Linked DNA regions of Coturnix japonica. The protein of the gene in region 1 interacts with the protein of each later gene in a pairwise test. Links are inferred from orthologs where the notes say so. Each region holds a gene or a part of one and is shown in the gene's direction. Other genes may lie near its edges.

Region 1 (7,316 bases):
GTTATTTCCAGACATCCAGTGACTTTCTTCCAACTTCTCTAAGGAGAACCAACAAAAGGAGGTAGCTGAGTCTGTGCTCTGGTGCTACAAAGAGCATGTTAGGAATAGCTGGATTAGTTGTTACAGGGACTCCCAGCTGGGAGCAGGAAAAGAAGAGGCAGCATTTAGGGATGTGTGGTGAGCCCAGCTTAGGCACTTAAAACACAGGGGAAGGAGGACTGTAGTGGGAAAGAGAACATGACAGTTTGAATCCTAGCCACTTTCAAGACTATTTTTAAGTGCTTTGTAGTGTTTTTGGAAAGAAGAGGCCAGCAGCTTGGCCAGAAGCAAGCTGATCTTCAGACATTACCCTGTGTAATTTGCTGGGTTTCAAAGAAACATCTTTTTTCTCCACTCTCCACAAGGAAGGCAAAAAGAGAGTGAACATCTCAGCGCTGTTCCCAAGCAGAGCGCAAAGCTCTCCTCAATCGTTACCTACAGAGTTTCAGGATCTGCTTCCTAGAAAGCATTGTTCACATGCCAGGCTGCTGCTGTACTCAGGTGGTTATGAGAAAGCAATAACATGCTGGTCTCGTAATGCTATGTTAAGAATCCATTATTAGGGACGTGCAAATCGACAGCAACTGTTCCTGTTTACAGTGAGGAGAGGGGAGATGTGAAACAGAACGTTTTAATTCCTTCAGAGGGAAACAGATGCTGGAGTTCCCTCCTTGGCACTGAGTAGGCAGGTGTAGTCATAGACATGCCCTGCTGCTGCTGGTGGCAGTTTGCTTTCTGTTGGAAACAAAGCACATCTGGTGTATCTCGCAGCTTGCTGCTGAAGTCTGTGTGACTTTCACATTTGTAACTGAAAGGGAAAGACCTGTCAGAGACAGCGTGAAGTTTTGTTGCTCCAGGGAAGACCATAAGGCAGGAAGAAACATATGGGAAGTGTTGAGACAGCAGTGATCTCATAAAGGCATGAAAGCAGAGATCCCTTCCCCACTGACACCAACGGTGGTGCATATCTCCTTGTACCTGGTGCGTATCTCCTTGTACCTGAGAGCAGGGAGTGGGCATGCATGCCTGAGTTCTGTGTTCTGGGTAAGCAAGCAGCCAAGTCAGCCTCATGCAAGTGGAAAAAATGTAAGCAAACCACTGTGAAGATGGGTTATTCTGATAGACATTCCAGTGGCATTTTATTTTCCGTTCCTGGTGTTAAGAAGGAAAGTAATCCCCAGGTGCTACTACAGCACTGTCCCTGCAATCAGAGAAGGGTCTGGGAGCTCTGACAGAGCACGTGGCAGGGGCTGTTACATACATCACTTGGTCTGAAACCTGCTGCAGTCAGCGGGATGGTTTCCATTGGTTCCAGGAGCAGGCATTGCTGGTGAGCAATGAGCACAGGAATAACCGCTGTGCATGTGAGGGGTGATCTCTGAGGAAAGGGCTTTTCATCATGGTGTCACTGCAGCCAGCATCACATGTGTATGGTTGGAAACATCAGAGCCTTCCAGGCTCCTCTGTGGCCCACTCCCAACAGCTGGCTCCTGCTGCCAGAGGGATTTGCTCCAGTTAAACAGCTCACCCAATTATCTCCCATGGCAGGGAAAGAAAACTTGCTCAGTGATGAGAGATCATTACAAATTACAAGCTCTGTGAGTTTGGGACAAACGAACCCCCCAAAGTGCTGCCTGGTTGAACACACTGTGTTCTGTGTGATAAATAACAGCTGACTTTTTCCATCGCTAGGAAATGAATCACTGTGGAGGCAAAACCAAAAAGGAGTCTCAATCCAGCTAGGAGACCTGAGAAGGAAGCTGCTGGAGGAGAAACGTATACTAACTCCATTGGCCTGTAGCCTGTCTTACACTTACTAACAAATGTCAACAACTAGGTAATGTCCTTCCTTTGTTCTTTCTGACACTAGCCCAGGACTTGGGGGTGAAGGTGCAGAAACATTCATTTTCCCTACTTCTTTAAATTCCATGTCTTGAAGGATAAGTCACGATCTGCACAAAATATAGTGTCTGTTAGTGGAGCCCAGAGAATCTGAGTCTCGTTTGAAAAACAAATTGTGTTGGAATTAAACCAGACAGAGAGAATGCTCAGGAGTGTCTGGTTCAGCCCCTTGTGCAGGCTTCTTCTGAATGAGAGATCTGAGACAGGACTGTAACCAATGGACAAAGCTGGAAAAAGGGAGGTCAAAGGGAGGATTTTATTTCCTTCCTATGTTTTGTTGATGCTTTCAGAAAGCACCAGGTACAGTCAGTCATCTTGTTCAGTTTGTTGCAGCTGTGAGAACTTAAAATAGGCTGGAAATAAATTTCTGGGTTTCGGGGACTTGCATGTCACGGGATTGTGACTATGCTTTGTTTGCAGCTGTTCTACCCAGCCAAGAAGTTATGGGATATATCCAAGCACCCCAGGCTTCACTGAATTTAAGTGTGGAAATGGCCAGTGCCTTGGGTTTAAAACAAAATAAAATGGAGACAGAGTCAAATGCAAGCCCTGATGCACCTGGTCTGTTATGTCATGGAAACATTTCTTCCTGCCTCTTGAAATGCTCAGATTACATCCTGATGCCTGAGATTCAGTTCCTTAGTTCAGCTCAGATATTACTGGTTACAAAATCCAGGCAGTACTTGCTTTCATGCAGCAGCTGCGCATTGTGTGGTGAAGTGCTTCCTTTAATTCATTCTTAAGTGACTTGCTTTTAATCCTGCAGCGTGACCTCTCACTGCAGGATGTGCTTCCCAAGCGTGAGTCAAGGGAGGAAGAGCTGTGCTGAGGGGAAGGCACTTCTTGTGTTCACAGCCCAAACCCATCCTCCGTCTATTCATCCATCTGTCTTCCCAGAGCTCCAGCTCGGAGATATCTTGTGTAGTGCAAGCAGCATAGCAGCCAGAGAATCACAGAGCTGGTGAAGTCACCATGAACTGTATGCTTATGTGCTAAGGGATAGTGAAGGAAAACTTCAAAGCAGGCTAAACATAATGTAAACACTAATTATTAGCTTAATTTTGCCACACCAGCTGTGTTGTGTAGGACCATCTGGTAAGCAGAACACAAGATTGCGATGTCCTGTTTGTGTTTCTACCCGCAAGTTGAATGCTGATCCCTGGGTGAATGTGCATGTAAGGCTTGCTAATCTCGGGGTACTGTTGCTGGTGTGACTGTGGTCTTTGGGAATGTGTGAAGACAACTGAGGAGGACAAGGGAAGATCCAGAGGAAGGTAAAAACCACTGCCTATAGTTAAACACCCTTGGTGGCTTTGTTACTGTGTCTGTATGAGCTGCTGTGCTTAGCTCCTACTGTCACATATCTCTAGATTGGAGGCAAATAGCAGAAGTGCCACTGGTGATGCATTATGCAATGCAAGTACCAGAACGTCAGTCCACTTCCCCCATTGCTCAGCTTCCCCTCTGCTCTTACAGCTCTGTTCATCTCTGTTGCAGGGAGCAGCCAATCTTCAGCACCAGAGCCCATGTTTTCCAAATAGACCCTGCTACCAAAAGAAACTGGATCCCTGCCAGCAAACATGCTTTGACTGTCTCTTATTTTTACGATGCCACACGCAATGTGTACCGGATCATCAGTGTGGGAGGCACCAAGGTAGGGAGCATTTGCTGACAGCATCACAGTTTGAAAGCAAGTTTGTCTCCAACCAGTGTCTGTTCTGCAATTGATGCTTTCTCTGTCACACTGATTAGTTTGCAGCATGGGGCACTCTGTCGTCTTTACTGCAAGGAATGGAAGATAAAACACTGCCTCCACACTTGAATGTGATCAGTATTGGACACTAGACCCTCTGCTAATGAGAAATGTGCTTAGTGTGCTTTCTTTTCTCTCTCTCCTTGACTCTTTCCTCTTTGAGCATGCAAAAGAGATCTTTCTAAGAGCCCTGATCCTGTGCTAAAACTGACCCATGTAGACAGAATGAACAAACAGAGGTGAGGCAGTCTGTTCAGCCACTAACCCCAAGACAAGGCTGATTCTCCCTCAGCTGTTCTTGATATTTTTCTGACTTGTTTCTCAAGACCTCCAGCAGCAAAGATTCCACAGTCTTCTCAAGCGGTTTATTGTGCTACTGCCCCAACCAACAGTGTTTTGTAATAGCTTGTGCTAAGTGCAGTTTAAGCCTTTTACTTAATGTTTTTTTAATTCCTGCTTGCCATGAAAGTGGAGAACATCAGAAAGTTGTTCAGTCCCCAAAGACTTTCCGCATCTTCTCTTTTCTTCCAGCAATGGAGGCCCAATGAAGCTTGTAATGTTCAGGCTTTCTTATTTATTTATTTTTTCCTACAGTAGACAAGAAGATTCACACTTGTGTGTATTTCTTAGCTAGACTAGAAAGACTTTTGATCACCAGAACCCCAAATAGCTGTTTTATACATTAAAAGCAGAGCTTCTACCCTAGTAGAATTGATAACCTACTAATTGGGGTGATCCCACACAACGCCCTTGGGCAGCAGAATGGAGTTTTCTCTAATTCATTCTTGCCTCTCTCCACAGGCAATCATCAACAGCACTATCACTCCCAACATGACCTTCACAAAGACATCCCAGAAATTCGGACAGTGGGCGGATAGCCGAGCTAACACAGTATATGGATTGGGCTTTGCTTCAGAGCAACACCTCTCCCAGGTAATATGGCAGATGCTGGTAGAGACCTGATCCCTGTAAGACAAATATCCTTGAAACCCAAAAGGGAGAGTTCAGCTTCAGGTGGAAAAAAATAAAAACAAAAACATTAGGGTCCTGCTGGAACCTGATTCAGGATACAAAGGTACAAGGAAGAGGTTGAAAGTAATCTTTATAGAGTATTTGAATGTTACAAAATGAATTTGGATTTAGGGCTCCCTGATTATTTCTAGCTACTCTCACACTTCTGAGTGCTGGAATCATGGGCAGGTAGGGGTTATTCCCTCAATCCAAATATTAATTGAAGATGAAACAGAAACCACATAAAATGAAATAACAGAGGGGAGGAGTAACCCAGACATTAATTCTAATTTGTTCTACGTTTTGATTTAGCAGTACAGTGACTTTTCTGCTCCCTTATAGTTTGCAGAGAAGTTCCAGGAAGTGAAAGAGGCAGCACGTTTGGCAAGGGAGAAATCCCAGGATAAAACAGAGCTGACCAATCCTGCCCTGAATATCACATCTCACCAGGTAATGCTTGGGAACGGGCATGAGCAGTGGTTGCTAGGGGAAATGGTCACTGTGCTGATCTCCTCTAGCAACTTTTGCTTCTGTCTTTTTGGCCCAAATGCTTTTTTGACAGACACTGGGGTTGGGGGTTCTTTCTGATGACATCTGTGGCCCTGTAGTCACTCTACTGAAGCACATGAAGTGGATAAAATAATTACTGCTTAAGTGGAGCTCTTAGGAAGGTTTACTCTCCTCCCTCTTTGTCAGTTAAACATTTGTCTTGAGAAAATCATGCTGGAAGAGGTCTTAGGTTTTCTGTTAGTGGTGGTGGTGGTGGTGGGTTTTGGCTTTATTTTCTTTAGAGTTATTGGCAGTAATAGGCAAGGAACATGCAGGAATGCACATAGCCTGGCTGAAGAAGTTAGGAGGAAAGATACGTGGCATTTCGAGCTATTTTTGTTCCCTTGCTGGGGCTGCAGGGGAGTTCCTCTCCCAAGTGTCTCTGGGTGCCAGTCTCAGAAAGACAAAGTGATTTCTTATCATTGGTGTCTGGGGAGTCCCTGCTAGACTTCTTCCATTTCTGTCTTCTTTCCACTGTAGAAGGAGCTGTGCTATCCGTGCACTGTGTTCCACCTTGGAGAAATCTTCACTGAGGTCGAGATGCAGGCATGACAACCAGTCATTCAATTTAGTTTCTCCCCAGACCAGAAAGCTTAAGCCCATCACTTATCATTCTCACATTTGTCACACTTGCAATTGCTGCCTGTCTCCCTGTATAACTAAATCAATTCCAGCAGCAGGAGGGTGGAGAGGAGAAAATAAGCTGTGGAGATGTCTACGCATCTTTTTTCTCATGTTGCAGCAGTTTGGCATTGATGGTGAAGTTGCCTTCCCAAATAGTGCTCTCCAGAGGTGGTTATGTACTTCACTGAGCTCTTGGCAGAAGGAAAGGAGCTGTAGGATGGAGGATGCTGCGTTCTCTGGGTTGAATACAGATGGAATGGCAGCAGGAGGAGGAGGGAGTGTGAACAGTACCTTGGCCTGTATGGAAAAGAGGGGGAGGTAGAGGCAGTGGCTCTGAAGAGACTGGAAATGTCACGTGCAATGGAAAAATGGGAAAAACTCACCTAGGTTTTGGCTTAGTCCCATCTTAATATGTGGCAAATGAATAAGAGAGCTGTATAGAGCATTCATAGCAGAGCCAAGACAGATTCATGTTCAGCTGCATCTATGAGAGCTTCCTTGGCTGGGAGGCAAGGTGGAAGTGGAGAAACTCTCTGCTATTCTGTTTACATCAGGCAGAATGCAACAGTTGTCACAATAGGATGTGTCCATTTCCCATGCACAGCTATGGCAGAAGGGATGAGGTGATCAGGAGGTGGTTTGGCACACATCTTGGAAGTGGCCTGAGGCTCAGTTCATTCTTCGTACTTGACTCAGCAGTGCTAAAATGGCCTCAGTGTAAGCCCATGCTCACCCTTCCCATTCACCGTGCCTTATCTCTCCATAGGAGAACTTGCACGTAGGTATGCATGACCCCTGCCTGCAGCCATCTGGAAGCCAGCACACAACACATGCAGTGTTTGCTGCCATGTGGGCATGCAGACCTTGTCTTGCTTCCCCCAGCCTGTACGTACATCATCTCCTACTACTGGTTTTCAGTCTCTGCATTAATACAGCTTCAAACATGAGCTTCATCCTTCAATAATTGATTGTTCTTCTGTTTGCAAGTGAGCAGAGAGCAGATCTGTCTCCTGAAATTAAATCAGGGCTCTCTGATTTTCTGCATTTGCACTAGCTAATTTAGGCTTCAGACTTAAGAGGAAATCCCAGGACAGCAGCTCTCTCCCATCCTCTAGTACCTGTTAGGTCAGTCCCCATCCTGTTTTAGCATCTCCATCACAGAGCAACAAAACATTGTGGAGCATCTTCAACTGTTACCAGTTTCAGCTGAATTCACAGGGGCTGACAGACTAGACCAGAAACTTTTGCACCTTGCCTGCCTCAGTTTCTCCGCCTATAAAAAAGCCTTATGGGGCAAGATGAGGCAGGGTTGTATTTTGCAGGTCTTGCTTCTCGATTGCCCTTTGGAAGGCTTCTTGAAGCCAGTGTTCAATACATCTTGTGGTCCAGTCTGCCTCTATTTTTAGATGTCAGATGACTCTGAAGACAGGTGGCTGTC
Region 2 (7,937 bases), on another chromosome or scaffold:
CTTACTTTGTTGGAAGGCAGTGTCTTTTGATAACAGTTATCTAGCCCTGGAAGTGACACAGAACTATTGCTAATCATATGTAAACACTTTTCAGTATAAGCTTCAGTGGTACAGTTGAACCAGAGTGAATGTTTATCTCCTCAGAAACACTCCTGCAATATTGTTATATTGGATCATGCTGCTAATGTAACTTGGGATACAACTCCTCTCATGGTGCTACAAACCTCCCTGTCTCATTCAGATGTATTTTTACCCATAGAAAAAAAGGACTATACTAGACCTATAGTTGTATGATATATTTTTATACTGTGACTTAATTTGTCATTAATGAACTTTGTACAACACCACAATGTATTCATATGCACTTGCAGAATTAAAATGTTGGACATGCAAATTTAAACGCTGACAAGCCCAGCTCTTATTCACATAAAAAAAAGATAAAAAAAATAGATGATTTAGTTACAATTAAACGTGGGCTTTTTATATGGTGTGGAGTGAAGAACATACTATATATTACTAAAAGCTTCTGAATTTAGACAAAAACTGGGAAAGAGTATATTGGGGAATGATGACACACCCAAACCTGGCTTGGATTGCTGAAATTCTATTTTATAGATAGTGGGAAAATCGTTTGGACTCGAATGCTAAAATGTTTGAATGATCAAATTTTTGAGTCAAAAACAGAGGGAAAAAAAAAAAAAAAAAAAAAAAAAGAACACAGAAAACCCTGCATTCCAGACAGAATTTGTGTATGTTTCTTGCATTTAAAATTTGCTATCCTGTGATATGGGAAATTGAGTTGCTTATCATGTATATGTACTTTAAAATGTATTCACAAACTACTGTTGTATTTGTATAAAATATAGACAAAAAGATTGCGTATATATTTTTGTGTATAAGCTCTGTAAAATAGCAATCACATTATGAAGCTGCAGCAGAACTTCATTTTAAACATTCACATCCAAAGAAACAGACTATTTATTGTCCACATACCCTGATTATAAAATATACCTTGCTGCTATTAAACAATAGTGCTGCAGCTTCTTGTGGCCTACAGTGTTATGTTTGCTGTACAAAAATATGTGAACTCCACAAAATATATCAATAAAATTACAGAATGGTTTTAGTTAATGAATAACTTATGCCTGGCATTTCAATAGATAATCTCGGTCTGCATGCTTGGGATTGCAAGGAGTGATTTTACATACATCCAGTTTTCCTGGGTGTAGTTATTCTGATTTTGCAAAGGTGTAACTGTGTTCCTGACTGATGACTGGTAAAATGTCAGTTTTGCAGCAAATCTAATGAGCAGAAGTTTCTGCCTTTCATGATTTTACCAAGGAACAGACTGGATGATGCTACTGTGTCTGTGACAAGACAGATTCTAATAGAAGCAAGCAGTCGCATTTGCCATCAAGCTGCCCTTTTGAGAAGCTGGAAGGTGAGTTTGGGGGTCTCGTGGGAGAAATGGGTGAGCGATTCTCTCCATCACTTCAGATGAATGCAAGTGATTTATTTTTGTTGTCATAGATCGTAGGATAAACTGTGAGACTGTGGCATGTGTTCCAGGCACAGTGTGTGGGTTGCCTCTCTTGACACGCTTCCAGGAGAAACTTCACTGTTTTGATACCACACACCTCCTGTCTGCCTGTGACACTGCTGTGGAAGCCTCGCTAACAAGTCTGACTAATGCACTGAGTGAAGAAGTACCATGAAACCAGCAGCCTACCCACAGTTGCAGAAAGCTGCAGAAGAAAGTGCTCTTTTTCCATGTAGCCATTTTCCTAGCATGAATTGTTTGCCAGGAAAGGAAAAGAATTAGCGTTTGCTGTTAAGCTGCTTCAAATTTGCATTTCCTTGCTCTTCAAAATGTATATTACTAATGCCCTGCTCTTCCAATTCTTTAATTTTTAGATTTTCTCCTGTTCACCAGTCTGAAAGAGAGGATCTTTCCAGAGTCACTAACTGTGTCATACAGACACTTTTGCTTTCTTGCGACTCCCAGCTGTCGCCTCTGAACTGACTTGTCACTTCTGTGTCACAGGTTTCTAACTGACTTGAGAGAGTTGGCCATGGTAAGAGTCAACAGCTCTACAGATGGAGGAAGAGGCGGTACCTGTCTTCAACTGCTTCTTGTCCAGATTTGCTTGAAAGGTGTAGAAGAAAGGAATGGAAGAAAAAGATCTGTTATACTTTCTCCCTTTGCTTTCCCTTCTTTCCTTCCATTTAATAAGTGTACCCTAACATACAGAATGTTTGGGGTTTTTTTTTGACAGAGAAATCTAAACCTGTGCCCCTGAGCTCCTGTTAATCACAATTTCTGATTAATCTGAAATCAGTATATTGCCTAAACTTTTGTGTATATATATCATCGTATCATAGTATCACAGTCTCGTGCGGGTTGGAAGGGACCTTAGAGATCATCGAGTCCAACCCCCGGGATTCGAGCCTCTGTGTAGCAGAGCGGCACTTCTACCACTTGCGCCACAGGGGATTCGAACCTGGGCTCCGGTGTCGCAACGCGGCATTCCAACCACTGCGCCACCGGGGCACACTAACTATATATATATATAATTATATATACTATATATATATACAAATATATATACTATATATATATACAAAAGAGTGTGTGTGTGGTGTGTGTGTGTGTGTGTGTACATGTGTGCATGCATGGGGAAACTTTCCAAAGTTGAGAAATACATTTTGTTTCACTTCAAAAAATGTAAGCATGGAACTTCAGCATTTTTCAAGTCCAAAGTGAATCACGCTATTGGTAAAGGTATCTCCCACTTAACACAGTGCTTGGTTTCCCAGACACATTGGAAGAGTTTCTTCCAATTCCTCGATTTATCTACGAGAGGCAGCAGCTTATCTACAGGGTGCACAGCCTCCTGTGGGGAAGGTGTTTTTCAGCTACCCCTGTGTAGCATTAGATAGATATTCAGTAGAAGAGTCCTTGTTGGCAGAGCCTTTGAATTTAAGCTCACCTCTGGCTTATTGCCTTTTTATTAAATGATTGCACATGTGGTCATGGGTACATCCTTAAGTTTCTCTCGCAAGTACTTACACTGAAAGTGAAAATAAAGTATAGATGCTGTACAACTAAGGGGACATAAGATAAAGGAGCAACCTTTAAACTGTAACGTAGGAGCAGGAGTTATCTAACACTGAGGACAAGTAAGCATAGACTAACTTGCCAAACTCACTGAATTCTGTCCTGCTGCAGCCTAGCGATCATTACGATCATGGAGCTGGGTGTTATCAGTGGTCAGGGGTTTTGTGGGATGCTGGGATCACTGATCCTTCCACACATCACCTGCAACAGCAAGGGTTCAGTCCCAAGCATCAGCATTACATCTGCTGTGCCTGGGAAATCATCTATCACCTAGTGGTTGCGTAGCACTAATGCTGTCCCGTTGGCCCTTTGCTGTGGCTGATTCACGTTGCTCATTAAGCACAGAAGCCGTTTTCTATTCCCTGACCTACAACTCTCAAATTCCACCAATGCTCTTTGTTATCACCCCACAACCCAGCAAAGCTGTTTGTTAGCTGCGCTACAGGGGCAGGACTGCAAAAACACTCTTGGCCAATGTGGCTGGAAGCACTGCATGATGTGCCTGCCTTATACAGCAGTAATCCCACAGGGAGAGGCACCCATCTCTGTGTCACCTGAAAGTGTTCTGCGGTCCAGAGTTTCACCTTTATCATCCTCACACCTAAATTTAGACCATTTCGTCTCAAGGGTGCTCTTCTGCAACTGTGATATTAACCCACAGCACCAGGTTCCAAGTTGTAATCACTGGTCCAATTGTGTTCATAGTGAATGGGCCATGAGACCCCCCCCTGCTTTCCTCCAGCTGCCTCCAGGTAACACCTCAGAGCATTGCAGCAGGGAGAGCCTCTGCTTGCTGCTCTGAAACACAGTAACCTTTTGGGGATGAAAATAAAAAAATATGGAGCGACTGTTTGGCAGTGTGTGTTTGAAACTTGATCTTATTATTTATAAACCAGGATTTAACCTTTTAAAATGTTTATTATTATGGCTCTTTTCTAAAGAAGGGCTGTAAGATCGCATTGCAACTCCCGTGGATGCGCTTGTTCTTGGCATTAAGGTTTACCTCTCAGCGCTTTAATGAAAACTTGTCTACATTTGCTACTACAAGGTGTCATTTGCAAAGCAACCATAACTCCAAAATACAAACTATTCACTTCTGGCTCGTCCTTGCAGTTAAAATAAACAGTCGTCTGTGGCCCATCCTCAGAGCAGGCTGTGTGTATGGACTGGCTTCAAATGATGATGTCGCTTACGCCTGCACAATTGATTTTATCAGAACTGCTTTCATGCAACTCAGAATACCGTTAAGAGGTCTATGAAGTGTGACTGGAAGCAACACTTGCACTGTGAAATGAGGATAGAAGTGAGAAGGAACGTCAGTTTGTCATCAAACCCCAAAGTGAGATCACAGAGACTGACAGCAAGCGGAAAAAAAGCTTTGATTTAGAAAGGGTAAAGAAAACTCAGAAGTCACAAAGGTACAGGCTAAGGAGCCATGTTGTTTTCAGAGCAGAATAAGTACTTAGGAGATAAATGCAGGAATTTAATAGAAACAGTGCTACCTTAATACTGGAAAGCACTTCTTAGAAGACACTGAACACACAGGCCTAAAAGGGGTGTGTTTTTCACTGAGCAGATGCACAAATAAATAAACTAATGGTTGTGGAGAAGAATTTAACCATATGCTTTAAGAACAAAGGGGACAGACACTTTAGCAGGAACTGTTGTGATAGCACAGAGGGAAATGATTTCAGGCAGAATGAAAAGAGATTTAGACTGGATATAAGTGAAAAGTTTGTTACGATAAGGGTGGTGAGGCACTGGAATATGTTGCCCAGAGAGGTGGTGGGTGCCCCATCCCTGAAGATGTTTGCAGGACAGGCTCTGTTTTGCAAGTCTATGAACAGTGGTAGTAGCTAACAGCACTGGCAGATGGAGTTCCTGGAGTACAGATGAGATGCCCATGGGTGATGCTGTGCTCCTCAGCTTGAAGCACAGCTGAGGCTGGGAAGCTACTGCAGCATCAGACGTACATTTTACTGTAAAAGTGTTTCATAGAAGCCTGGAACATCAGGATCCTGCCACAAGTTATTGGCACTGCCACATGCTGCAGCCCTCAGGACACAGGCTGCATGCTTTGCTGTTTTTACTTCTAAAAGTTCTTATTACGTGCTTGCTCTTAATGACACTTGCAGCAGCCAGAGCTCAAGACATGCTGAAGTTCCCTGCCGGTAAGCACTGGTTCACACAGCTTCCTTTTTCCTTATATTGCTGTGGGAATAGCAGCGACATGGGAACAGCAGAGCTGAAGGCCTTCCTGGGTGCCCAGTGTGGGCTCTCCTGGGGAAGGCACTGGGATGAGTGGGGCTGCCAGCCCAGCACCCTGCTTCTGAGCAGGGACAGTGGAGCTGAATGTAGCTGGGAGGTGTGGCAAGGACGTCCTGCAGTGGTTGTTTCTCAAGGGAAGCAGCTGTCATTTCCATCTCCAGTATAGATGGATTTACTTATTGCAGCTTTCTGTTATCATCACAGCTCACCTACTGAGAATGCACTTCTTCTGAAGATTTTAAGTGGAGCCACCACACAGGTATACAACCCCAGCACTGCTGCAACCTGTTGTCTGTACTGGTTGCTTTGCAGCATATTTAAAACTGCAGAGAGGTTCCTTGTTGGTGTCCTCCACTGCCCCCAGATGTCCCAGCATAGCTGATGTCAGAGCAGGACCCTGCCCCTATGAGACCTCTCTCCAACCTCTACCTTGATAGCAACTCCTACCACACATTAACACCTATTTATCTAAATCTCCCCTAGCCAATCTGTTTCACATCACTGGGTGATAATCCAGGTTTCCCATTCTCATTCTTCTGTTGACACCTCCTCCTGTCAAACACAAGTTGCAGGTCCCTTTAAACTCACTTTTACATTTAGTTATGCCTGCCATAGGCCTATCAAATGTTAGTGGTTACTACTCAGCTGTGTCCTCTGAGAATGACCCCAGGTTCTCTAATGCATCTGACAATTATCATTTTCCTACAACCCCAGCAAAATGCACTCACTTTATTTACTACCAGGGCATTTTGCTAGAGATATTCATTGAGCAAAGTATCTTTCTTATCTCCTGTGATTAAAAATCATGCAAAATACACACACACTAATCTGTTTTAGTTTTAAATCCATAGACCTTTACCTTCTGGAGATTTACATAAGGGTGGAAGAAGAATGTTCTCAGATGAACCTGATTATGGGGTTAGCTCATTGAGACAGATGCAGATCATTAGGGGGTAGGAGGGGAAAATTGTGCAGAGAGAATAAAAGAGCCTTTGGAAAATGCCACAAGGAAGCCTTCCAGTCTCTTGTCCTCCTAACTGTTTCTGGCATCTTATTATGCCATCACCTATTCCTTTTAATAGCTTTCTTCCTTTAGAGCTCTCCCCATCTGCAGACTTGAGACCTTGCAGCAGCCCTGTAGTTATCCCTGGCAAAGATGGAAAAGCCTTCCTAGGAGGGACCCCCTCACCCAGGACACGCCGCCTGCCCCCACGTTTGGCTTGGTGCTCCATTGACTGGGACCGACTCTGCCTTCTGCAGCCCTTGGGATCTGGAGGCTTTGGGGCTGTCTACAAGGCCACCTACCATGGTGTGACTGTGGCTGTGAAGCAGGTGAAGAAGAGCAGCAAAAACCGTCTGGCATCCCGACAGAGCTTCTGGGCTGAGCTGAACGTAGCCCGACTGCAGCATGATAATGTGGTGCGTGTGGTGGCTGCCAGCACGTGTGCCCCTGCCAGCCAGAACAGCCTGGGCACCATCATCATGGAATATGTTGGCAACATCACCCTGCACCATGTCATCTATGGCACTCAAGATGCGTGGAGGCAGGGCGAGGAGGAAGAAGGAGGATGTGGGAGGAAGGCTCTGAGCATGGAGGAGGCTGTGTGCTACTCGTGTGACATTGTGACTGGCTTAGCCTTCCTTCACTCGCAGGGCATCGTGCACCTCGACCTGAAGCCTGCCAATATCCTCATCACTGAGCATGGAGTATGCAAGATCGGAGACTTTGGCTGCTCCCAGAGACTGGAGGAAGGCTTGTCCCAGAGCCACCATGTTTGCCAGCAAGGGGGCACATACACCCACCGTGCGCCTGAGCTCCTCAAGGGTGAGAGGGTCACTGCCAAAGCAGACATCTACTCCTTTGCCATCACACTCTGGCAGATCATCATGCGGGAGCAGCCCTACCTGGGCGAGCGGCAGTACGTGCTCTATGCTGTGGTAGCCTACAACTTGCGCCCTTCTTTGTCGGCCGCCATCTTCCACGAGTCACCAATGGGCCAAAGGCTTCAGAGCATCATCAGCTGCTGCTGGAAGGCTGACGTAGAGGAGCGCCTCAGCGCGGCCCAGCTGCTCCCCAGCCTCAGGGCCCTGAAGGGGAACCTCTAAAAGAGCTCAAGGTTACTCTCATCTTTTTCCCCTCCACTTTTTCTTCAAAAATAATGACTGTGGCTTCTTTGATATATTTTATATTTAAAAAAAAAAAAAAAAAAAGGATGTTTTGTTATAAGAAAATAAATAAAGAAATTGAACGAATTTGGTTTTTAAATTACAGAGGGGATAGAGAGGCAAGGATCCAGGTGTTAGTGAGAATATATATAGCTTACTTTTTTTTAGTGGCTCTTTTTTAGTTATCTCTGGTGAGCTCCATCACTTAGAGGAAAAGCTGGGGACAAAGAAAAATTGTTTTCAAGTACAAAAGAGTGCTGCTTCTGGATAGCGTTTTGTATATAATATTGTCTGGTATTTCCACATATGAGACAAATGTAGTTCTTGATTAATCTTGATAGATGAACTAGGCCTGGGCATATGAGATTTTCATATCTGAATACGG

Evidence for each region. The genes of interacting proteins can lie anywhere in the genome.
Region 2: the proteins of HOMER3 (region 1) and MOS interact in binary tests that used the Homo sapiens proteins (3 or more experiments, as listed by UniProt). The two-hybrid records come from large-scale screens. The link is inferred for Coturnix japonica from reciprocal best matches to the Homo sapiens genes HOMER3 and MOS.

Annotation. Positions count from the first base shown.
Region 1 is NC_029543.1:2,748,913-2,756,228, forward strand, and holds part of HOMER3 (homer protein homolog 3), read left to right. Parts: intron 1-1,731; exon of another isoform or gene 1,732-1,862; coding exon of another isoform or gene 1,863-1,876; intron 1,877-3,438; coding exon 3,439-3,595; intron 3,596-4,495; coding exon 4,496-4,627; intron 4,628-5,047; coding exon 5,048-5,155; intron 5,156-7,316. UniProt on the Homo sapiens protein: Postsynaptic density scaffolding protein. Binds and cross-links cytoplasmic regions of GRM1, GRM5, ITPR1, DNM3, RYR1, RYR2, SHANK1 and SHANK3.
Region 2 is NC_029517.1:100,573,233-100,581,169, reverse strand, and holds the start of MOS (proto-oncogene serine/threonine-protein kinase mos), read left to right. Parts: upstream 1-2,676; 5' UTR 2,677-6,385; coding exon 6,386-7,492; 3' UTR 7,493-7,937.